Nothobranchius furzeri: one gene and its partners. The protein of the gene in region 1 binds, or shares a complex with, the protein of each later gene. Links are inferred from orthologs where the notes say so. Each region holds a gene or a part of one and is shown in the gene's direction. Other genes may lie near its edges.

What was found.
Region 2: the proteins of eif2s1b (region 1) and eif2b2 are in contact, whole or in part, in a cryo-EM structure (PDB 6K71), measured with the Homo sapiens proteins. The link is inferred for Nothobranchius furzeri from reciprocal best matches to the Homo sapiens genes EIF2S1 and EIF2B2. Residues at the interface, in NP_004085.1 of Homo sapiens: Leu51, Ser52, Arg53, Arg54, Ile56, Asn60, Lys61, Leu62, Arg64, Arg67, Lys87, Ser91; in NP_055054.1 of Homo sapiens: Glu92, Arg95, Gln128, Ser131, Asn132, Glu135, Ala136, Glu139, Val142, Glu143, Glu145, Glu149, Asn150.
Region 3: the proteins of eif2s1b (region 1) and eif2b1 are in contact, whole or in part, in a cryo-EM structure (PDB 6K72), measured with the Homo sapiens proteins. The link is inferred for Nothobranchius furzeri from reciprocal best matches to the Homo sapiens genes EIF2S1 and EIF2B1. Residues at the interface, in NP_004085.1 of Homo sapiens: Ala28, Glu29, Met30, Tyr33, Gly44, Met45, Leu47, Leu48, Arg75, Lys80, Tyr82, Ile83, Asp84, Arg88; in NP_001405.1 of Homo sapiens: Gly39, Thr41, Ile42, Gln43, Gly44, Leu45, Arg46, Ala47, Asn48, Glu70, Arg74, Ser77, Ser80, Leu81, Glu82, Tyr83, Ser84, Asp85, Tyr86, Cys89, Leu305.

The regions. Positions count from the first base shown.
Region 1 is NC_091742.1:8,438,207-8,445,921, reverse strand, and holds the start of eif2s1b (eukaryotic translation initiation factor 2 subunit 1b), read left to right. Parts: upstream 1-3,041; 5' UTR 3,042-3,206; intron 3,207-4,443; 5' UTR 4,444-4,445; coding exon 4,446-4,686; intron 4,687-7,715. Other genes in the region: atp6v1d (V-type proton ATPase subunit D), read right to left, coding at 434-578, 1,094-1,172, 1,242-1,308, 1,414-1,517, 1,617-1,661, 1,748-1,815, 1,894-1,973, 2,130-2,247 and 1 more. UniProt on the Homo sapiens protein: Member of the eIF2 complex that functions in the early steps of protein synthesis by forming a ternary complex with GTP and initiator tRNA. This complex binds to a 40S ribosomal subunit, followed by mRNA binding to form a 43S pre-initiation complex (43S PIC).
Region 2 is NC_091742.1:2,322,480-2,330,325, forward strand, and holds eif2b2 (translation initiation factor eIF2B subunit beta), read left to right. Parts: upstream 1-2,903; 5' UTR 2,904-3,006; coding exon 3,007-3,178; intron 3,179-3,581; coding exon 3,582-3,702; intron 3,703-3,797; coding exon 3,798-3,949; intron 3,950-4,046; coding exon 4,047-4,210; intron 4,211-4,294; coding exon 4,295-4,390; intron 4,391-4,464; coding exon 4,465-4,602; intron 4,603-4,689; coding exon 4,690-4,756; intron 4,757-4,844; coding exon 4,845-5,002; 3' UTR 5,003-5,007; exon of another isoform or gene 5,008-5,033; intron 5,034-7,365; exon of another isoform or gene 7,366-7,616; 3' UTR 7,617-7,634; downstream 7,635-7,846. Other genes in the region: tmed10 (transmembrane emp24 domain-containing protein 10), read left to right, coding at 755-881, 1,018-1,139; drc1 (dynein regulatory complex protein 1), read right to left, coding at 7,730-7,792. UniProt on the Homo sapiens protein: Acts as a component of the translation initiation factor 2B (eIF2B) complex, which catalyzes the exchange of GDP for GTP on eukaryotic initiation factor 2 (eIF2) gamma subunit.
Region 3 is NC_091746.1:40,376,307-40,384,224, reverse strand, and holds the start of eif2b1 (translation initiation factor eIF2B subunit alpha), read left to right. Parts: upstream 1-2,667; 5' UTR 2,668-2,964; coding exon 2,965-2,977; intron 2,978-3,062; coding exon 3,063-3,164; intron 3,165-7,393; coding exon 7,394-7,530; intron 7,531-7,918.

The DNA.
Region 1 (7,715 bases):
CTTACAGAGTAAACGTGGCTCATTTGTGTTCAAACCAAAAGCATAAAAAAAAGAGCGTTTGCTTTATATTTAGAGCATCTTTATTTTGTTGACAATATTTTACAGGGTCAGAGATTTACCCTTCACAGGTTTCCACAACACAGACTTCAGCTTTACAGCATGCGATGCTCCAAACGACGTCTACAGGTGAGCCGTTCACACAGAGGGCTTCTTTCATTTTACTCACAAACAACACGTTTATTATTCATAATTACTTTTTTTTTTCTTAAGACTTGTCTGTACAGCGACACGAGAAGACGTTCAGACTTTTCCAGCACAGAAACACAATCACAGATCTGGAGGGGAAAAATAACTTTATAGGGAGGTGTGAACGTGGCCGGAGGCACGGAATAAATAAGACGTTGAGTGTTGAACCACGGGGGGAGGGAGGGGTTCACTCAAACAGCAGGTCCTCGTCCGTCTCCTCCGTCAGCATGTTAGCCGGCTCAGCGATGGGACCGAGTGCAGCCAGCCGGGCGGCGATCTCCCGTTCTGTCCTTTCCCTGAGCTGCTTCTTTTTCTCCTGGATTTTCTTCAGCCTGGCACAGCGGAAAATAACAGGTACTGTAAATGTGAAGCTTCAGAATGGCCAAACTAAAGAGTAAGTCACCCCCCTACCAGAGCCTTACTCCACCCACACTTCTGGTTTCAAAAATGCACCAAAAGGAGGCGTTGCCTGATGGGGTGAGAGGGCGGGACTGCAGCCTGAACTGACTGGTTTTTTGGAGGAGGTGAGCAGCCCTGAGGCATCGGCTTGTGAGTTGCCAAGGCAACCGGTGCAGAGCCTGCTGGCGGCATAGCTTACCCAGAAATTCGGCTGGTATTAGACCCCACAGTGGTACCCTTTAACCAATAGCGATGGCTAACTAATTCAAATGGAATGCAGACTATTAACCTGAAGAGGGCGCTACACCAACAGTTTTAGGTTGAATATTTAAATAAGATGCACCAAAAACCAAAAATAATGATTACACATGACTCTTACAGTAGTTGACTTCCTAACCCATCAGATCCTTTTACTAATGGTTAAGGAATCCGATGCAGCTGCTCTCACCTGTAGAACTCCTCACGCTCCCTCTCATCCAGCTCTGTGATGATGTAGGTGAGAGTGCGATCAATCCTGGGAATAATCACTGCAACGGAGAGTAAAGATGGTTAAAAACACAAGCATCTGTAGATCTTTGAACAACTCGTTTGTTTACCGTGCTCAATGGCATTCACGCGGCGGTTAGTGATCTTAATGGCTTCGTCCAAGGTGACAAATGATGTCTGTTAAAAAAATATTAATTTTTATTCAAAATTAAATATATATATATATATATAGATATTTTGCAAATATGGCAGAAAAATACGCCTTAAAAGCCATAACAGCACCTGTAAGGAGGCCAACTCCACAAGCAGCTCAACAGCTCTAGCATAATTCCTCTTCAGCCGGGAGAGCTGTTCACCTCCTCGGGCTAGACCGGTGAGTTCATAACCTGACACACACACACACACAAACATGCTGAGCTTTCTGAGGTTCACAGACACTAATCCAAATATGATGCATGTCTGAAAAGTACAATTACACTACTTACTGTCTCCACCTTCTTGGTAGTGTTCAAACACTGGAAGGGTGACACCTGAAAAGACAAATTCAGCATGAATAGTTGTTTCCCATCAATTACAGTGATGATGATGATGATGATGATGGGAAGATTTTTCTGACCCGCCACATTATCCTTCTTGGCTCGAACCTTGACCTGGGCTTTGTTCACATTCTGGATTACAGTTGTGCTGAAAGAAGATGAAAAGTTGCTGCGCACGTCTAACAGACTCGATAAAACACGGCTGTAACATTGTCATTACTCTTACCTAAAGTCACCAGCTGCAAATTTGGCTTCAGCCAATGAGAAAGCTGCTTCTCTCATCACCTCTCCCATCTTAGTTTTAGTCTAAAAGAACAGAGAATAAAAGAAAATTCCATTATTAGGTGTTTTTCTATTATGTGAGAAATAATGCAAGATTTAAATAGTTGCTCTAGTTATTTTAGTGTCAAATTGGCTGGAGTGAAGAAAGAGAAGCAGCAATCATTAAATGTTCTGACTGACTTCAATAATTTTACGAAGGATCTGACGGAAGCGCATCGAGAGAGCGTCAGATTTCTTCTTGAGCAAACTGCGGCCAGTTTGAGCCCCTTTCAGTCGAGCCTTCATGATGGTCTGGGCCCTGCAAACACACAGATGACATTTATTTATAGATTCAGACCTGATGTGACTACACAACCACCTATTGTACATTTTTTAAAGTATTTGTCTAATTATTTTTCTCTGCATGGTTGGCCATCCTGAAAGACAGATACCCACTTTTCTTTTTTTACACATGAATATCTGAGTGAGTTTTTCCACATAAACAAACAGGTGACGTGCAGTCAGTTTGGCTTTAAAATTAGAACTAGACCTTCCTTGTGGCTTTCATGAAGCAGGTACAGACTCTGTTCACACTCAGATGTTAGAAACATCACATGACACAAAAATAGCGCTTCCTCTTTTAAACAGCAGACTCAAACTATGAATAAAATGTATCCGCAGTGCAGACGCGGTCCAATTAAGGTAAATAAATGCAGAAAATTAATTATCACGGCATCTGGAAAGCTAGAAAAATAATGTGACATTTAATGGGGGGGGGGGGGGGGCTAATTTGTTAGCCAAGAGAAAAGACGATACGATAAGAAAAGACGATACTTACATTCTAGACGGGAATATGTCGATCCTGTCCTTTCCAGACATGTTTTCGTCTTTATGTTGACCGATCTACTTCTACGCTTTAAACTTAAATATTTAACTTTACTTGTAACTATAACGAATCGTTTGAGGTTAATATAATATCTCAAAAAAGCTATAATTCGAGCAGGATTAGGTGAACGTAGCTAGCTAATGGTCGTGATCTTGTCCGTCCGTAATGATCAGCTGACCCCAAGTCATGTGACACAGCCGTGAATTTACACATGCGCAGAGAGGTACTCTCTATTAATTCTTTCCGGGGCAAAAAAAAATTGCACACCCATGAATGTGAGCTAACGGGTCTGAGAATTTCATCTAAAAGCAGCCGAAAGAAAACATAGAGAAGCATTTAAACACGCCCATCATAAAATTCCAACTTTATCATTCTGTAACTCCATGACACAGGTGAGTTTTCGCTGACAGAGAAGATATTTGAAGCGACGAAGAGACTGCTAGCTAAACGTGTAGCATTGGCAGCCGCATGTGATTTGGAAACCTTAGCCAGGAAGCTAACACCTTAAAATGTCTTTTTCTGCTTGTAATGAAACCGTATGTTATCTCTTAGCGTTTTATTCATTATCTATGTGCTATAATGTGCCTTACTACTAGTACTAATGTGCTGTAATATTTTATTGTCTGTTTTTAATTCCATATGTTCAAGCCAGTTTTTTGCTCTTAAAAAAAGTTGTGGACGTTGCATCATCCCATTCATTCCTAGACTAAAATTTTGAGGGGGGAAAAGCCTAAAACTACGAATCTTTTGAAGAACTGTTCTGAATTTTATTTATTTCAAACGGGTCAAATATTAATGCTGAAATGTGAATACTTGAAATGCTTGTTCTATGCAATAATCCCAACATTTTGCTTTCTGCACAGGGTTTTCTGCTAATGAGGGTGCTGATTGTATCAAGAGCCGTGCATTATTTATTCTTGATGACTTGTGCAAATATCAGTATTACATATTAAGTCTTTTTCTGTTTCTCTGAAGCCGCAGATTGTTAAGTTCAGATAAGGTGCTGTTGGCTGTTAACACCTTATTCTTCCTAATAACCCCCTCAAAGGGTTATTAACAAGTCTCCTGTAGAAGTGAATTGTGCTTATTAATATTGGAATGTTTTACTGGTGACATAATATTTCACACACTGTCAACAGATTAATACCAATAGAATAAAATCATCAAACATTCTCCATTAAACAAAGAACAACATAGAAAGGTCCATTGCAATTGAGGGAAATAATTTTGTTACAGATTAGTGGTGATAAAAAGTCAAATGTTCTTTGAAAGCTGAATCTCCAGTTTGGATTAAAGTGAATAAACCAGTAGCATCAATATGTGTTGGCGTTTAAATGAAAGTAAACTTGATCTCTTCAAACTGCTGCAAGTAAAATGTTGATCTTTGATGAAAGGTTTTTGGAGTAGATTTAGTTTTGTGGCTGCTCTGCCCATCCATGAACTCAAAAAACTTTATTAAAGTCAAATTTACAACAGCACTACAAAATATTACATATTTACATATTTTTCTGCTTTCACTCTTGAGAGGCTAGCGTTTTATGTATTATCAGAGTGACATCCAAATAGTTTGTTTAATGCTTATTTTTCAAACTAAATATGTACCCCCTTATTCTGTTCACATCTTCACAGCAATGCCGGGGCTTAGTTGTCGGTTCTATCAGCATCGCTTCCCTGAGGTGGAGGATGTGGTGATGGTGAACGTGAGGTCCATCGCTGAGATGGGAGCCTATGTCAGCCTTCTGGAGTACAACAACATCGAGGGCATGATCCTCCTGAGTGAGCTGTCCCGCAGACGTATTCGCTCCATCAACAAGCTCATCCGCATCGGTCGCAACGAATGTGTCGTCGTCATTCGAGTTGACAAAGAGAAAGGTGAGAGCTGCAACTTGAAACGTAACATTAACAGATAAAATTATCCATAAGATATTCTTGTTTTAAACACACTATAGAAGGGGTTTTCAATTATTTTCTGTCATATAAAATTATTTTATTTTTTTGCATAAGGGCTGCAGCTATCAAATATTTTCGTATTCGAGTATTCTATCGAATCATCCATCGATTAATGGAGTATTCTATTTGACGGCGTTTCAAGTGAAACGAGATTGTGGTCTGCTGCCAAAATAAAAACGCAAAATTATAAGAGGCTCAACAAAATATATTAAATTGGTGTTCCCTATTTCCCAGCTGATTTTTATAGTTAAATATTTTATGGAACAATTTTTTTTAGGTTTCTATTAATATCAGTAAAATATTCACAGTAGAATTATTCATTTCATTTACATGTTCAGTAGTAAGTTACTGGAAATGCTAATAACATTTCATTTGTACTTGTGGCGTGTGTCTCTTTATATATATATATTATTATTATTTATTTATTTTTTACAGGTTGGCAACGTAATCTAGTCTACATTGTGTTCAAATATGTAAGCGTTTGTGAATTACATGCTACAACGGCTTGCCATTGCGCTGCTGCGGTGTATGGAGCAGACTCGTAGCAACAACCAGACTCCAGGGAGCTGCAGCAGTTCTGCACCACACCGCTGTAGACATCCACACATAAACAGGATGGTGGAGGTTTTTCTTCCACTTGTGGAGTTTAGTCGCTCACAACCATCATGTTTTTTTCTGGACCACACTTGCTCATGAGAATGCTACCCGCTAGCTTAGCATTAGCAATTCTGCTCGTAGTTTATTCTTGACCCCAAACTTAGGACTGTTTCTGCCTTTTACAATGGTTTGTCTTTGCTGGTTTCTCTATTTTTCCTCCACAGCACCTAGATCACCACGTAGTGCACCAGTAAAATGTGTTCAGACCAGGGACATGCAGAGACCTTTGAAGGGGTGGGTGCTCAAATTCAAAAAGGGGGCACATAATAGGGATGCAACGATACCACTTTTTTCCAAACCGATACAATACCGATACTTGGATCAGAGTACTCGCCGATACCGATTACCAATACCGATACTTCTACCACACAAAAAAATGCAATGATTTGGAATACAGATTTTACTTTCTTCTCTGCTTTCAACAGGAAAAGACTGAGGTAGGTAAAAAGTAAAATATATGAATGGAAATATCACAAAACTAAAATATTAGGTGAACAGAAATGACAAGTTACAGTGAAGCCATTTTCAAGCAACTGCATTGGTATCTGTTAACTTTTACCGATACTGGTATTGGTATCTGTATCGATGCCGATACCGATACCAGTATTGTATCGGTGCTAGGGTTGTCACGATACTAAAATTTCAAACTCGATTCGATACTTGAAAATATTCGGTGCTCGATTTCGATACTATTTAAAAACACCAATTTATTGAACAAGTTTATTCAAAAAATAACATTCCTCAATTTATATTGCAAAAATTAAATGTTAAGAATTAAGTGTGTAAAGTGCTTAAACCTTTCAAGTATCAGCATTTTTTAAAACGTGCATACAAAAACTGGCGAAAGTTACTTTAAATCATGAATTGCCTCACTATATATACACTATTTGCAGAGTGATGTTTTGCTGCTTAAACTCTGTTTAAGGTGCATTTTTGTCATAAGATGTAATGCCATATGTTTTGTTCTGTACTTTTGAACAACTCTGTTGGTCAATAAAGGGAGAAAATGAATTTCTCCACAGTAGGACAGAGGTACATCTACCGGTAATCTTAATTAAAAACAGATTGGCGCACGGCAGAGACGTCATTAAAAGCGCCGGTTAATTAGCCGCGGCTAGTCTGTTTACGCCTAGAAATCCCAGACCCGCTCCAAACGAACAGGGGAATCATGTCAATGATTCCTAACAAAACCTTTCGACATTGAGATGTTTTGGTGCAGATAATGTCTTATTTCAAGGCTGCACCATAGGTGCCCGTCCGCACCCGTTATATGGATATATGCTGACGGCGATTCGCCGATGGATCTAAATACCCCGGGGAATCCAAGTAGCACCAAAGTTGTCAGCGTGAGTAAACAAACGTACTGCATGCTAGAAATTAAGTCCGGGTTGCAATAAACGGGAGTTTCCTTTAAGCACATAAGCGTGAATATACAACTATGTGTCGGACTTGGTATGCTAATTACGTTGGGCTGTGAAGCGCCTCCCAAATTCGCTGTTTATGTTTTTGTTTATTTATTTGGCAGACAAAACTTGGATCGGAGACAACTCACGTGGGAAATTACAATGTAGCCATGTGGCGTCTTCTTCTTCTGTTTGTCTGGGAGGCGGAGGCTGCTTTACGGCGTCTGGCTGTCGTGCGTGTCGGTTAGGGCTGCAACAACGAATCGATAAATTCGATGAAAATCGATTACTAAAAGCGTTGGCAACGAATTGCGTCATCGATTCGTTGTGTTGCGCAACTCTTCCAAAAGCCCCCTCCCGCCCGCCGTTGCGCGCAGACCGGTGGAGAGCCAGCAGGTGTTTGTAAGAGGAACATGGCAGAAGCAGCGAGACCCCCAAAAAGTAAAAACTTCTAAAGTTTGGGAGCATTTTCAGTTAAATCAGGCGAAGACATGCAACGTTTGTAGGTCAGACTTAGCATGGCATGGGGATACTACGGTGATGATGCAGCGTCTTAAACGCAAGCATGTCAGAATCATCAGCGAGGAAGGAGAGAGCTCGGTGTCCGGGTAAGTTAAAAACTTTTCAAAAGTGATTCACCCAAGCTCCGGATTATTACACAGGCTAGACATGCCCTAAGCTCGTAAAAAAAAGTATTTAAAATTGTAAGCGCGACGCTATTAGATATGCGGGGGGGGGGGGGGGGGGGGGGGACGACTCGCGCCGCTGCGAACCGGTTCCGCCGTCACATTCCCGCAGAAACTGGTTGATCACACCGGGGCCAGACTACTAACTTGTGGCTTTACAACCACAATGTCCTCAGAAGCGAAAACGCTTTTAAAAGGGAGGGAG
Region 2 (7,846 bases), about 6.1 Mb from region 1:
GATTATTCTACCAGATTAGATTCATCCCATCAGTTATCAGTATTCCCAGGGGACTCCCTCTCCTCCCTGATTGAGTTTTTTGTGGAGGATCTAGTGAAATAATGACCTCATCAGCTTGGCTCCCATTTCTGCTGAAACCTATTATTAATTTGTTTGTTTACACCAGGTGATGACTGAGACCTGAAGGCATGTAGGTTAGTGGGACAGAGCTGGGGAAGGCTGAAATACAAACACAGGAACATTCTTGGAATGTTTTCACCTCCTTCCTTTCTGTCAAAGAGCCGTTGGTCTTCTCGGTGTATTTTCAAAATTTCTTTCTTTCCTTTTTTTTTTTTTTTTTTTTTTTACAATATTTGTTTGGATTTTTTGATAATTTTCACTGCTAGTGAAGTATATCTCTGTCTGGTTTGTCAGTTTAAAACATTTAATGTGAAGGAATAAAAGAGTATCATCTGCAAAAGTCAACATTAACTGTATAACATTGACATAAGTGCCTAAACTGAAACATGCAAACCTTCAGAATTCTTGGTTAATCAAGATTAATGTTGAAAATTAGAGAAAAAAGTGTTAAAAGAGAAGAAACAAGGAATCATTGGGGCTTCTAGAGACCTTATATCAGGCATCTCCGGTTCAGCTGTGAGGTTCACACACTTCTATTTACAGTTTCAGAGCGACACCTACTGGACAAGTTGTTAACCAACACCACTGATAAAGCTAGTCAGTGTTTTCATTCGTCTCCGTTTTGACCCTTCAGATTGCAAAAGTGGAAAAACTGAAGCCTCTGGAGGTTGAGCTGAGGCGGCTGGAGGACCTGTCAGAATCCATCGTGAATGACTTTGCTTACATGAAGAAGAGGGAAGAGGAGATGCGGGACACCAACGGTAAGGCAACCACCGAACCATCAGGTCATCGATGTCACATAAATATATATATCTTAGTGTTTTGGGAAAGAGTCCTAATAAAAAAGAAAAACTTCAATAATAAAACGTGGTTAACTCCTGTATCTCACCACTACAGAGTCCACAAACACACGCGTGTTGTACTTCAGTATATTCTCCATGTGCTGTCTCATCGGACTGGCCACATGGCAGGTCTTCTACTTGCGGCGCTTCTTCAAGGCAAAGAAGCTGATCGAGTAGAGCGGTTCACCTGGCTCCGTTCCCCGAGGAACCCTGCCCGCCAGTCGGCAACCCCATCCCAGCATCCACCCTTCTTGGACTAGCGTCAACAAGCAACAGCAAGTGGGGCTGAGGGGCTCAAAATCTGGTTTTCAAGGTTGAGAGAAAAGGGTTTTCCTCCGGGGGAACATCTGCTTGTTACGTAGCTGTCAACAAGAAAAGCTCTGCAAGGAGAAATGAAGTGAGATGATGGTTGTTTCTTTCTGCACCGTTTTTACTGTTGCAGCTTCCTGAACAAGATTCCTTCATCAGTTGAATCGTGTTTTATTTTGAGCTCACTTTGAATGGATACACCATGAGTGAATGTTTCTGCCCTTCTGTTGAAATGCATTCTTTGCCATGTCATGCAAACTAGATCATCTGTCCTTTTGTCGACCAGGGCTCATTGAAAACATGGTTTGTTGTTACTTTCAGAAATTGGCAACCACTGAAACTTTGTGTCGTGTCACTCAGTAGCTATATTTAACTGTGTCTTTAGTTTTTCATATTGTAACTGCCACTTAGTTGCTTCTACTGGAAGGGTTTGAATTTTCACATTAATATTCCTTTATTGTAAATTTGGTCACTTCCTTGATCTCTTGCATGTTCGAGTTTTGTTTTTGGAACCTCCATCATCCAAGAACCAAAAATCCTCTTCTTGCACCGACATGGTTTGTATGACGCATTCATGCAAGTTTCTCATCAGAATGCAGGTTGGTAGTTGTGACAAAAAATTAGAAGTTATTCAGACATTTGCCCCTTTTTTGCTTTACACCTGATTATATTGTTTCCAATAACAGTCCTTGCAGATCCATCCAGTGTTGGTTTTATTTTTGTTTTTTCGTTGGAAGTGTTTGAATCTTGGGTCACGTCAATGTGGGTGTTTGCAGGTTTTCATATTGGTTTTGACAGGAAGTAATGGCTGTCCTGGTACATTTTTAACAATGGAACATGCGCATTCAGCGCAGTCAGTGATTTTTATGTTGACTGATAAATTTTGTAAATTTGTGTTGGGCTTTTATTCAATAAAAATATTGGATGGATTTACATGAGTTAAGTTTGTAAAGGTGTTTCCCTGTTCAAAGAATGTTCAGAATTTTTTTTTTTTTTTTGCCAGTCCTATAATAAAAATTACAGTGATCCAAACAGGTATTCTGTTGCATGGAGATAATAAAATACAAGGAAAACTGAATTTGTAACCAAGAAATTATGATCTATGTAAAACTTATGCAAGAATAACAAAATTACTAAAAAATCAAAAATTTGCCCAGATTAAAACTAGGTCATGTGTTTGATGGTAGGAAACTTCACCTACCTAAGTTTTGAGCAAATAACACGTGCATAATATTTTCACAAATTTGTATTGAATTAACATATTTTTTATTATGCCCTGTCTGCTTTTTTCTAATTGATTACTTCATTAATTTTTTTTATTAGTAAAATAAAATAGCACAAAAAATAACTTTTCGTTAGTTGTTGAAGGACAGACATTTTTTAAAATTCAAAATCAAATGGGAAAGGCCCCGAACTCCTTTCTTACCCATGCTGCCGCCTTTGGCCAAGTCTCCTTTGAAAAATGGACTTTAATCCTAAATAAAGGTTGAATAAACATTAAAGCTAAATAAAAAAATCAAGTATTTTTAGGATGAGATGCCTAGTTTATTTACGTTTTAAAGATATCGCTTAAAAGGTGATGAAGATAGACGCAGTAATCAGTCAACCAATCAGAGAGAAGAACACCCGCGTCCCCCGGATGTAATTCAGAAGAAATTCCGGTTCCCGATTTTTATGGTAGAAATTCGCCTATATCTGTTTTCTGCCGGTTAGTTCTGTAGTTTTTACTTGAACTATGCCGGGCCCGTACAAAGAAACGGACCTGACGGAGAGGGTCGAAGCTTTCCTGTCGGACCTGAAGCGGGGAGGCAGCGGAACCGGACCTCTGAGAGGTTCGGCTGAAACGGCCAGAGAAACGACGGCGCTACTCCGCAAAATTACCGCCCAGGCTCGGTGGAGCAGCGCAGGTGCTTCATTTGTCCCCTTTCTTCAGTTTAAAGTTAACCTTAACATCACAGTAGATCCACAAGCTGCTATAGGATCTACAAGTGGAGAGAAACACCGCGAAATATGTTAGCTGTTAAAACCCACGCTCCAGGAACAGGATATTAGCCTATTAGCATAACGGTGCGCCTAGTTTAGTACAGATGCTATGTAAGTACAAGACGTACATAGGATTAAATGTGGAGCAGTGTCCATATACATGTAAAAATGAATGGGAATGCAGACAGATGAATAGAAACGAACAATAACAACTTAATTTAAAGTTGCTTCAGTCAAACCTCATAATTATCCGTCTGTGTGCCCCTGTTGGCTCTCACCATTGTTGTGATCTGATCCTGTTTGATATTTTCACGTTTTCTGTCTTAGGTGATCTCATGGAGATCATCCGTAAAGAGGGCAGGAGAATGACCGCTGCTCAGCCTTCAGAGACCACCGTTGGTAACATGGTCAGAAGGGTGCTGAAGATCATCAGAGAGGAATACGCCAGGTGAGGACGCACCAGGGTGTAATCGGAATAAAAACATAAAACAGACAAAACTAATTCCTGCTTCCAAAAGGACACAATGTTAATTCTCTCCTTAGATCTCGAGGTAGCAGTGAAGAAGCAGACCAACAGGAGTCGCTCCACAAGCTCTTGACCTCTGGAGGACTCAGCGAGGAGAACTTCAGGCATCATTTTGCTCCTCTTAAAGCTAACGTCATCGAGGCCATCAACGAGTTGCTGACGGAGCTGGGTGAGTTGTTCTTATTAAGCTTATTTAGTTTTCAAGCAGAATAAATCCACAATTTTAAGGAGATTTCTTTAATTCTGGGCTTCCTTCACTCTTTCAGAGGGAACGACTGACAACATTGCGATGCAGGCACTGGAACACATTCACTCCAACGAGGTCATCATGACAATCGGGCGCTCTCGCACCGTAGAGGCCTTCCTCAAAGACGCTGCGCGGAAACGCAAGTTCCATGTCATCGTAGCAGAGTGTGCACCCTTCTGCCAGGTAGCACGGACAAATGAGGTCTAAGTAAGTTAAACTCTTTGTTGTTTAAAATAATTTTTTAAAACTTTATTTATCTTCTAATAGGGACATGAAATGGCCACCAGCCTATCAAAAGCGGGCATAGAAACAACCGTGATTGCAGATGCGGCCATATTTGCGGTCATGTCTCGAGTTAATAAGGTATTTTTCCACATCTGATGATTAAGGGTATCGTCAGGGCATGCAGGTTAACTTGTGTGATGATGTGTCTGCAGGTCATCATCGGTACTCAGACAGTCCTAGCAAATGGTGGTTTGAGGGCCGTCAATGGAACACATACACTTGCCCTCGCGGCCAAACATCACTCAACACCTCTCATCGTTTGTGCTCCGATGTTCAAGCTCTCACCTCAGGTCCGATAAACACCCGCATCCATCAGACCTTTGCTCTTTCTCTTAATAACAAACAATTTCAACTTTTATATTTTATTTATTTTGCAGTTTCCAAATGAGGAAGACACCTTCCATAAATTTGTTTCCCCACACGAAGTCCTCCCTTTCACCGAAGGTAAGTCGTTACCACAACCTCCTTTTGAGCCTTCAGGTGAAAAGTTGCATCCATTGAAAGAAATCAGTTTTATCTTTTTGTTTTTCAGGTGAGATCCTCTCTAAAGTCAACGTACACTGTCCAGTGTTCGACTACGTTCCTCCTGAGCTCATCACTCTCTTCATCTCCAACATTGGAGGACATGCACCCTCATACATTTATCGACTAATGAGTGAGCTTTACCACCCGGAGGACCACGAGCTTTAATCGCTGTAATAAATAAGTTATTAACTATTGACGTTGAGTTTTGTTTACTTTGAGAGAAAGAGAGCCCAGTGGCAGGAAGGCAGTTTTCTCCTCTTTTATTTAGTTCCACACAAACCTTCCACTTCAGCACAAAACAGAGGTAAACACATCGACTAAAGATACTAAAACCACGTGATAATCCACATCTGGACTCCATCTTTGATGAATAAATGGTAATCAAACACCTCTCCCATTAGCAGTTACACAATCACTTTTTTTCTGTAAAAACAAGTTTTCATTTATGAAAAAGTTTTAAGGGAAACGTGCCTTAGTGGTGGGAAAACTTCCCCTTTCTGATCCAGTCTAGCGGTTGAGGTTATTATGGAACTAACGCTAAAATATTTGGCTACGCTGTAATTTTGCCACCATTTGACAATTTCAAGCCACTAATAGACATTAAACAAATAGTTTTATAGATTTTATTGTAGCTGCAGCGATGTAGGACATTTAAAGGGTACAAATAAAAATACATAAATACTAAAATTTGCATTAAAATATACACTCACTGGCCACTTTATTGGATACACCTGTCCAATTGCTCGTTAATGCTAATTACTAATCAGCCAATCACAGGGTGGCAACTTAATGCATTTAGGCGTGTTGGCATGGTCAAGATGATCGGCTGAAGTTCAAACTGAGCTTCAGAATGAGGGATGAAAGGTAAGTGAAGTGACTTTGAACGTGGTCTGGTTGTTAGTGCCAGACGGGCTGGTCTGAGTATTTCAGAACCTGCTGATCTTCTGGGATTGTGACACACCACCATCTCTAGAGTTTACAGAGAATGGTCTGAAAAAGGGAAAACATCCAGTGTGCAGCAGTTCTGTGGGTGAAAATGCCTTGTTGGTGCCAGAGGTCAGAGGAGAATGGCCAGACTGGTTCCAGTTGATAGAAAGACAACAGTAACTCAAATAACCAATTGTTACAGTCAAGGTGTGCAGAAGAGCATCGACACGTCGAACCTTGAGGTAGATGAGTTACAGCAGCAGAAGACCACACCGGGTGCCACTCCTGTCAGCTAAGATCATGAAACTGAGGCTGCAATTCATACAGGCTTACCAAAACTGGACAATAGAAGACTGGAAGAATGTTGTGTGCTGCAACATTCAGATGGTAGGGTCAGAATTTGGCGTCAACAACATGAAAGCATGGATCCATCCTGCCTTGCCTCAACGGTTCAGGCTGCTGGTGGTGGTGGTGTAATGGTGTGGGGGACATTTTCTTGGCACACTTTGGGTCCCTTAGTACTAACTGATCATCGTTGCAACGCCTCAGCCTACCTGAGTATTGTTGCTGACCATGTCCATCCCTTTGCGACCACAGTGTACCCATCTTCTAACGGTTACTTCCAGCAGAATAATTTACCATGTCATAAAGCTGGAATCATCTCAGACTGGTTTTTCTAACAAGACAGTGAATTCACTGTACTCCACAGTCACCAGATCTCAGTCCAATAGAGCACCTTTGGGATGCGGTAGGACGCATCATGGATGTGCTGCCAACAAGTCTGCAGCAACAACGGGATGCAATCATGTCAGCATGGACCAACATGTGAGGAATGTTCCCAGTACCTTGTTAAGGCAGCTCTGAAGGCAAAACGGGGTCCAACCCGGTACTGGCAAGGTGTACCCAATAAAGTGGCCAGCAGCTTTATTTATATAGCACATAGCACACATAGATGATATTTAATGTGCTGTCCAGTAGCACGAAAAAACTGGAAACGTAAACGGTAGATTTTAACATCTGTACAGAAAATGTGACTTTAAAAAAGAAAAGGTTATTAAAGACTGAGCGGTTATGTAGAGGTCACATGACGCTGGCTCCATCCGTGTGCAGCATTGTAGCTAAAATATTGTCTGTAAAAATAATGTTTGTAAAGAACCAAAGATGTGTATTTTCCTAACAGGTTCAGAGACAAAAAACAAAATATGATGTTTTTTTAACTGCAGTGTTACATTTATTACATCTTTATCCTAAAAGCAGTTCTTATGTAAATAATCAGACTTTTTTTCTTAAATCTCTAACTGAAAAAGCATTTTGGCTGATTTTTCTCTGCTGTTCTTGTGTAACCACTCTTCTGTGCACAGTAACAAACCCCACTGAACATAAATGATGCACGTTATTTATGATTTAAAGAAACAAACACTTGTCACTAGTCTGCTGTATGTAGGCGTTAATGTGCACCTGTGATACCTGACCAGAGAGGTCGTGTGTGCTGGCGTGACTCGGCTTTCCAGCTAAATGCAACACAAATCCTCCACTTCAACTTCAATAACATCCCATAAAAACTTGTAATCCTTCAAAATAAGTTTCCAGAATACCATTAGTACAGGCCAAGATGAACTTTATTGAAGAACTTAATTCTTGACACTACACTCTTTGTCTTATTTTTGCTAATTCAGGCACAGCAATAAAACTTCTTTTTTACCTTTATGGAACAAACGGGAAATTTTTACTGTTTTTCTGTAGTAAAGTTCAAATCTTTTTTGAAATACAATTATGGACTAAAACCTATTTACTCAACAGATAGCTACGTATTTTCTTAAATCCTGTTTAACCTTTTCTTCTCTCTGTGCAGCTGACCCAGCACCAACATGCGATGGTTTGAGCCCACTGAGGACGATGTGGATCCAGGTCCGGAGACTAGCGGTGCTTCCTGGAGTTGCTGGCAGCAGGGATGGTCCTGCTGTTTTATTTCTTCTTATCTTCTCTTTTCTTCTCATCTTCTCTTTTCCCTTGAAAACTAACCTCGGGCTGTTTAAAATAGCAGGGTACATTTAATTATCAATAGCACTTCTATCTACTATC
Region 3 (7,918 bases), on another chromosome or scaffold:
AAACAAAAAACGAATTTATTTGACCGGAGTGGGACAAATAAATATAAAACAGGAAAATGCACAAGCTTTGCGTGGTGTTTTAAAATGTTTCGCTAATTTAAATTCCTGCTTGTTTTTTTCTGTAGGTATATTCTAATGGCAGCTTTTCTCTTTTTCGAAATGTTGTTTCTTTGATTGACTTATCTTTTGTGAGTTTTTGTACCTTCTTTAATTTGATTTATTTTATGTGCAGCAGGCACGTGTAGAGGGGGTGGGCCGGAGGGTGCTTGAGCACCTGCCCCTTTTGTCCGAAGTACCCTAAGTATCCTTTTTCCGCTCTTTCGCCAGATTTTACTGTTCAAAACTGTTATACTGTGATACATATCAGGCACTAGGACCATGCGGAGGCAGCCGCTTCAAGCTGAAGCCCATTCTGAGCCCATTTTCCCTTAGACCCGCCTACAAGCTCACTGATTGGCTCTGCTGCACATACTAACGTGTGATTGGTTGTCCCTGCTGTCGCTCTACCTTGCAGTCATGGAGACGACAGTAAGGTTTGCGTTCATCTACCTGTAAGGTTTTTTTTTCTTCCTGCTTCACGTCAGCTGGAGGGATTTTAATATCAGAGCTTTTGTTTACATTTGTTTGAGTCCGTGGTTAGTGTGTGTGGAGCAGTGGAGGTAGCTGCATGTCTGAGACAGAAAATGGGACATGAGACTTAAGTGTTGAAGAAACTCACAACAAATAATCACTCACTCTAGATTCTCCGGATCATAGCTTCTGAAGTACTAATCGAATAAAAATAATTCCAACGTTTCTAAAAGTACATATAACGAGCTTTTCAACGAGGTATTACATGATGTAATTCATGTTACTCAAAAAAATTGTATTTAGAAGCAAACCGGTGATGGTAAAAGTGAATGTGAGCATAATTATACACATTTTATTACTTTATTATGTATTTTTTATTGTTGACTATTACTCCAAAGGGTTCAAGTGAAGGCAACTGGACTTCTTTGGTTTCTTTAAAACATCTCACTTCTCATCTGAGGAGCTTTGTCCATTCTAACAGGAAAATGGGAGAGTCAAGCTTATGAGCTGTAGCTGTCTGTTGCTGTTTAACGAGCTGTAACTACTCTGGGTACCCGGCCTCTCCATATCCTGATGAGTCGTTAGCCTCTTTTGCAAGGGAGTCATGTTGATTAGACACAGGAAGGCGTGACCTAGACAGAAATTGCTTAGGAATGAGATTCACAGCTGCATTATAGGTGCTGGAAAGGTGAAACCTAAGCCCCTCCCCTATTTAAAGTGGAGTTTTCACATTTGACATAGATAGCTTCTTTTACTCCTCTCTCAAACCATCTATGTCCAGAATGTGTACTTTGTCATCTTCAAAGGTGTGTCCCTTGTCCTTCAGGTGTAGGTGGACTGTAGAGTTTGCTGAAGAGGCGGCTCTCCTGTGTTGTGCCATGCTCTTGTGTAATTGTTGTTTAGTTTCTCTAATGTAAACATCTGGACAGTGCTCCTACACTGGACTACATAAACTACCCCACTGAGCTTCTGTTGGGGTGTTTTGTCTTCTGGATGGACCAGGTTCTGTCTGAGGGTGTTGTTGGGTTAAAGTTTACCGGGATGTTGTGTTTGGAGAAGATTCTTCTAAGTTTCTCTGAGTCTCCTGCCACGAATGTGATGATGGTGCCTTTGTGTAAAGGATGTTGTTGTTAGGTTGGTAGCAGAGCTCTCATGTTTAGTGCTAAGTTCAGTGAGATCATGGAATGGGATCAAGAATTTTCTACTGACAGGAAAAAGATCTCAGCTAACATAGCTGTAGATCACACTGGATAACTTTGTGTGGTTGCATTTATTTTACTACTTCTTGCTAGAGCTGTCTTTAGTAAGCTCAAAGTCAATTTGGTTGTACACCTGTGAAATAGCAATAAATGATCTTGAATACTGTTAAATGTACTTCCTGAATGAGTGACCTTTTAAGGCTAAAATAACAAAATGACAAATACAGACAGAAGGATGACTTATTTCTTCTTTTGTAACTCATTGCATCACCACCTGGTATCAGAACAGTACTCGGTATTGGAAGATAATCAAAAATCAAACAACCTGGACTCAGATCAGAGGCAAAAATGTGGTTGTAACATCTCTAGATATAAGTCAGCTTTATAAACTAAAACAATTATTTATGAACTAACATTAACACTAATGACACTAATTGATATATTTTTATTATGTTGTTTGAACCCAAGGGTCTCATTATCTGAATTTTCTAACCTGTTGGATTGTGAATCTGTTTAAAAGTTTTGCTCTATAAGTGCCCCTTTTTTTACTTTGAGCTCCCGCCCCGTCAAAGGTCTCTGCACAGCCCTGATGTGCAGCATAGATGTAAAACAGGCCATTTTGGTTCGTTATAAATAAATGTCAGGGCCAAATTTTGTTTTTTTGGTCTGTTGTCTCTTTAGGGACATCTCGTTTCTATTTTATATTATTGTTCGACTTCTTATTTTGATGTGTATATTGTCATATTTTAGAACATTTTGCATCTATTTGCTCCATTTTGTCAAACCTTATTCACAAGTTAGTTTAATTTATTTTAGTTATTTTCATAAAACTAACTTGTAGACTCAGCTTTACATTTAAGTAATGTGCATGAAGGTAACACGAACGTCTACGTCATTTTCTTGCGACACGCAACTCGCTGCGTGAAGCTAAAAGCGTGAAAGTCTCTAGATGGTGTCAACAGAACTATTCAGACTTTGAGAGCTGTTTTCTTGCTGGCGTGTAAAAAGGTTTGGTTGAATCAAACATTTGAAACATCAGTTTTGCTTCTCTGAATTATTTGAGGCCGCAGCTTTGCGGTGTAGCGGTTCTGGTGCTGTCTAAACATCTCTAAACTGACTGATTCTTGCTAATAAAACGTCCAGAGGTTGGTTTTGAGTTGGAATAGCGGTTTTTAGGCTCCTATCTTATTTCAAAATGAATGAAGAAGGTAAGGCGTTTCATGTGAGGGATTATCTGCTCTGCTGTGGACTCGCCGATGCTAAAACTGTCCTGTCTCTGTGGTCCTGGATCAGAGCTGGTGGAGTACTTCAGGGCTCAGATGAGGAAAGACCCGGGCATGGCCTCTGCCGTTGCGGCCATCCGCACCCTGCTGGAGTTTCTCAAAAGAGACAAAGGTGTGTATGTCACCTCATATATGCCACCTCAGTATGGATGTTTTCATACTTTAATTTCAGATATACTGTCAAGCAAAGCACCATTATGTTTTTGATATTACAGATTATAATTACCACTTATTAATCATTTTAGGTTAAGAACAATTTTCTTTTCAAAAAGCAAGTATTTCTTCTTAAATTCAAACCTCCAGGTTTATTCAACATCTTTTACATTTAAGGACTTAGGCTGATTTTTCCACTCATTTTTTAAGCAGCCAAAGTTGAGATATAAACAAAAAGACCTTCAGAAAGTTTACAGAGTGGTTGATCTCTTTAAAATATTACAAGATGATTTGATTGCTTGGAAGCAAATTATAAAGAATTGAAATGTTTGCCAAATGTATGATTGGAATTTTAAAGTATTTTTATTACTTGTAGTCTTTTTGTATTTTTCTATCTATCTATCGTCCGTCCATCCATCTATCCATCCATCCATCCATCCATCCATCCATCAATCTATCAATCACACACTGCTCACAAGAATTAAAGGAACAATTTTTTTATTGGGCCTGGCATGAAATCAATTAAATCCATCCATAAAGTGGCAACAATTACAAAACCCTCAAAACAGGACTGGTTTAACATGTAGAGGTCATTTCAAGTTTCTCCCTCTTGAGCTTTTTCTGCTGGTTTTCCACTCGTGCTAGTTTTGGCTCTCTACTGGCAGTATGAGGCGATTCCTTAACCCTACAGAAGTTGCACAGGTTGTCCAACTTCTCCAGCATGGCACATCCACACGTGCTGCAGTAAGAAGGTTTTAATGTGTCTCCCAGCACAATCTCCAGAACATGGAGATTTCAGGAGACTGGCGGTTATTCTGGGAGAGCTGAACAGGGCCGTAGAAGGTTCACAACCCATCAGCAGGACTGATATCTGCTCCTTTGTGCAAGGCGGAACAGTCTGAGCACTGCTCGTTCCCTACAGAATGACCTCCAGAGGGCCACTGGTGTGAATGTCTCTACCCAAACAATCAGGAACAGACTTCATGAAGATGGCCTGAGGGTCTGACGTCCTGTAGTGGGCCCTGTGCTCACTGCCCAGCACCGTAGAGCTTGACTGGCATTTGCTCATGAACACCAGAATTGGCAAGTCCGCCACTGGCACCCTGTACTTTTTTCAGACGAGAGCAGGTTCACCCTGAGCACCTGTGATAGACGTGAAAGAGTCTGGAGAAGACAAGGAGAATGTTATGCTGCCTGCAACATCGTTCAACATGACAGGTTTTGGTGGTGGGTCAGTGATGGTCTGGGGAGGCATATCCATGGAGGGACACACAGACCTCTACTGCCTAGGAAATGGTGCTCTGACTGCCATAAGGTATCGAGATGAAGTCCTTGAACCCGTTGTCAGACCCTACGCTGATGCAGTAGGTCCTGGTTTTCTCCTACTGCATGACAAAGCCCGCCCTCATGTGGCAAGAGTATGCAGGCAGCACCTGCAGGATGAAGTAATTGAAACAATTGAATGGCCTTCACGATCCCCTGACTTAAACCCAATAGAACATCTGTGGGACATTATGTTTCGGTCCATTAGGCAGCACCAGGTTGCTCCTCAGACTGTACAAGAGCTCAGGGATGCCCTCACACAGATCTGGGAGGAAATGCCACAAGACACCATCTGTTGTCTCAATAGGAGCATGCCCCGACGTTGTCAAGCATGTACACAAGCTCGTGGGGGCCACACAAGATACTGAAAAGCAATTTGAGTTGCAGAAATTAAGTTTTTGAAATAATGGACTAGCCTGCCACATCTTCATTTCACTCCGAGTTTAGGGTGTTAACACAGTTGAGCCCTCTCTAGGCTGATAACTTTTATTTCCATTAAAAGACTTGGCATCCTTTTGTTCCTAAGACATTGCCCTGTCGTTATTTGTATAGATATCCAACTTCATATTGAGATCTGATCTATCTAATGTGTTTCTTTAAAGTGTTCCTTTAATTTTTGTGAGCAGTGTGAAAAACGAATTGCCCCTTCCTGATTTCTTATTTTTTTGCATGTTTGTCACACAAATTGTTTCTGATCATCAAACACATTTAACCATTAGTCAAAGATAACACAAGTAAACACAAAATGCAGTTTTGAAATGATGGTTCTTATTATTTAGGGAGAGAACAAAATCCAAACCTACATTGCCCTGTGTGAAAAAGTAATGGCCCCCTTGTTAAAAAAATAACCCAACTGTGGTGTTTCACACCTGAGTTCAATTTCTGTAGCCACCCCCAAGCCTGATTACTGCCACACCTGTTTCAATCAAATCACTTAAATATGAGCTGCCTGACACAGAGAAGTAGACCAAAAGCACCTCAAAAGCTAGACATCATGCCAAGATCCAAAGAAATTCAAGCACAAATGAGAACAAAAGTAATTGAGATCTATCAGTCTGGTAAAGGTTATGAAGCCATTTCTAAAGCTTTGGGACTCCAGCGAACCACAGTGAGAGCCATTATCCACAAATGGCAACAACATGGAACAGTGGTGAACCTTCCAAGGAGTGGGCGGCTGACCAAAATTACCCCAAGAGCGCAGAGACAACTCATCCGAGAGGTCACAAAAGACCCCAGGACAACTTCTAAAGAACTGCAGGCCTCACTTGCCTCAGTTAAGGTCAGTGTTCACGACTCCACCATAAGAAAGAGACTGGGCAAAAATGGCCTGCATGGCAGATTTCCAAGACGCAAACCACTGTTAAGCAAAAAGAACATTAAGGCTCGTCTCAGTTTTGTTAAGAAACATCTCAATGATTGCCAAGACTTTTGGGAAAATACCTTGTGGACTGATGAGACAAAGGTTGAACTTTTTGGAAGGCAAATGTCCCGTTACATCTGGCGTAGAAGTAACGCAGCATTTCAGACAAAGAACAGCATACCAACAGTAAAATATGGTGGTGGTAGTGTGATGGTCTGGGGTTGTTTTGCTGCTTCAGGAACTGGAAGGTTTGTTGTGATAAATGGAACCATGAATTCTACTGTCTACCAAAACATCCTGAAGGAGAATGTCCGGCCATCTGTTTGTCAACTAAAGCTGAAGCGATCTTGGGTGCTGCAGCAAGACAATGACCCAAAACACACCAGCAAATCCACCTCTGCTCTGAATGGCTGAAGAACAACAAAATGAAGACTTTGGAGTGGCCTAGTCAAAGTCCTGACCTGAATCCTATTGAGATGCTATGGCATGACCTTTAAAAGGTGGTTCATGCTAGAAAACCCTCAAATAAAGCTGAATTACAACAATTCTGCAAAGATGAGTGGGCCAAAATTCCTCCAGAGTAATGTAAAAGACTTGTAGCAAGTTATCGCAAACGCTTGATTGCAGTTATTGCTGCTAAGGGAGACCCAACCAGTTATTAGGTTCAGGGGGCAATTACTTTTTCACACAGGGCAATGTAGGTTTGGATTTTGTTCTCTCCCTAAATAATAAAAACCATCATTTCACAACTACATTTTGTGTTTACTTGTGTTATCTTTGACTAATGGTTAAATGTGTTTGATGATCAGAAACATTTTGTGTGACAAACATGCAAAAGAATAAGAAATCAGAAAGGGGGCAAATAGTTTTTCACACCTCTGTAGATGGCCATGGGTCATTTTTATTTCTTAGTGCTGAATAGACACATTTTTGAGTAACATCCCACTTTGAATCTCTCATGTGACTTTGTCACTTTCAGAACAAAAACATGGATTTTGTCTCAGCAACGAGGCTCTAATGCATTCGTTAATTTCCGCAAAACTCAAGTGTTGTTTTCAAACTAATAAAATAAAGGTTTCTTCTTGGATGAAAACATTTTTTTTATCTGACCGTTTTAGCTTCCTACTAGAGGGCTTCTTCATGCGCTGTCCTCTGTTGGAGCGATGAGGCCCCCTCATCTCATCTTTGTCTTGTTTCCTGAGTTTATTGCCTCCCTTATAGCGGAGATGAGGGGGCAGACACATTGCCAAGAGCTTGAGACTTGCTCCTTGAGGCAACATCTGGTGCATATGGGAGTGCCCGTCAACGTAACGCATACCAGGAATACCAGAAAAACGCAGTGTCATTGCTCCATTAGATGGCAGCTCATGAAGAAGGCCTCAAATAGGAAAGTGAAACTTTGGTAAAAGACATTCAACCCAAGATACTTGGCTGTTTAAGAAGACACCTTAAGTTTTATTAGTTGTAACAAGGCATTGTGTTCTTAAACCATCGTTTCCCTGCAGGTGAGACCATCCTGGGCTTGAGGGAGAGTCTGAAACAGGCCACAGGCTGCCTGATGGGGGAGGACTCATCCGTGGCTGTGTCGTCTGGAGGTGAACTCTTCTTGCGCTTCATCAGTCTCACCTCTCTGGAGCACCAGGTGAAGCAAAACACTTCAATGTTCAGATTATCAATCTTCTTTAAGGCAGTTATCCACCTGCTATGGATTATGGAACAAACCTTCTTGAGAGCAACAGATCTACAGTGGGGCAAATAAGTATTTAGTCAGCCACCGATTGTGCAAGTTCTCCCACTTAAAATGATGACAGAGGTCAGTAATTTACATCATAGGTACACTTCAACTGTGAGAGACAGAATGGGAAAAAATCCATGAATTCACATGGCAGGATTTTTAAAGAATTTATTTGTAAATCAGGGTGGAAAATAAGTATTTGGTCACTTCAAACAAGGAAAATCTCTGGCTCTCACAGACCTGTAACGTCTTCTTTAAGAAGCTTTTCTGTCCTCCACTCGTTACCTGTATTAAT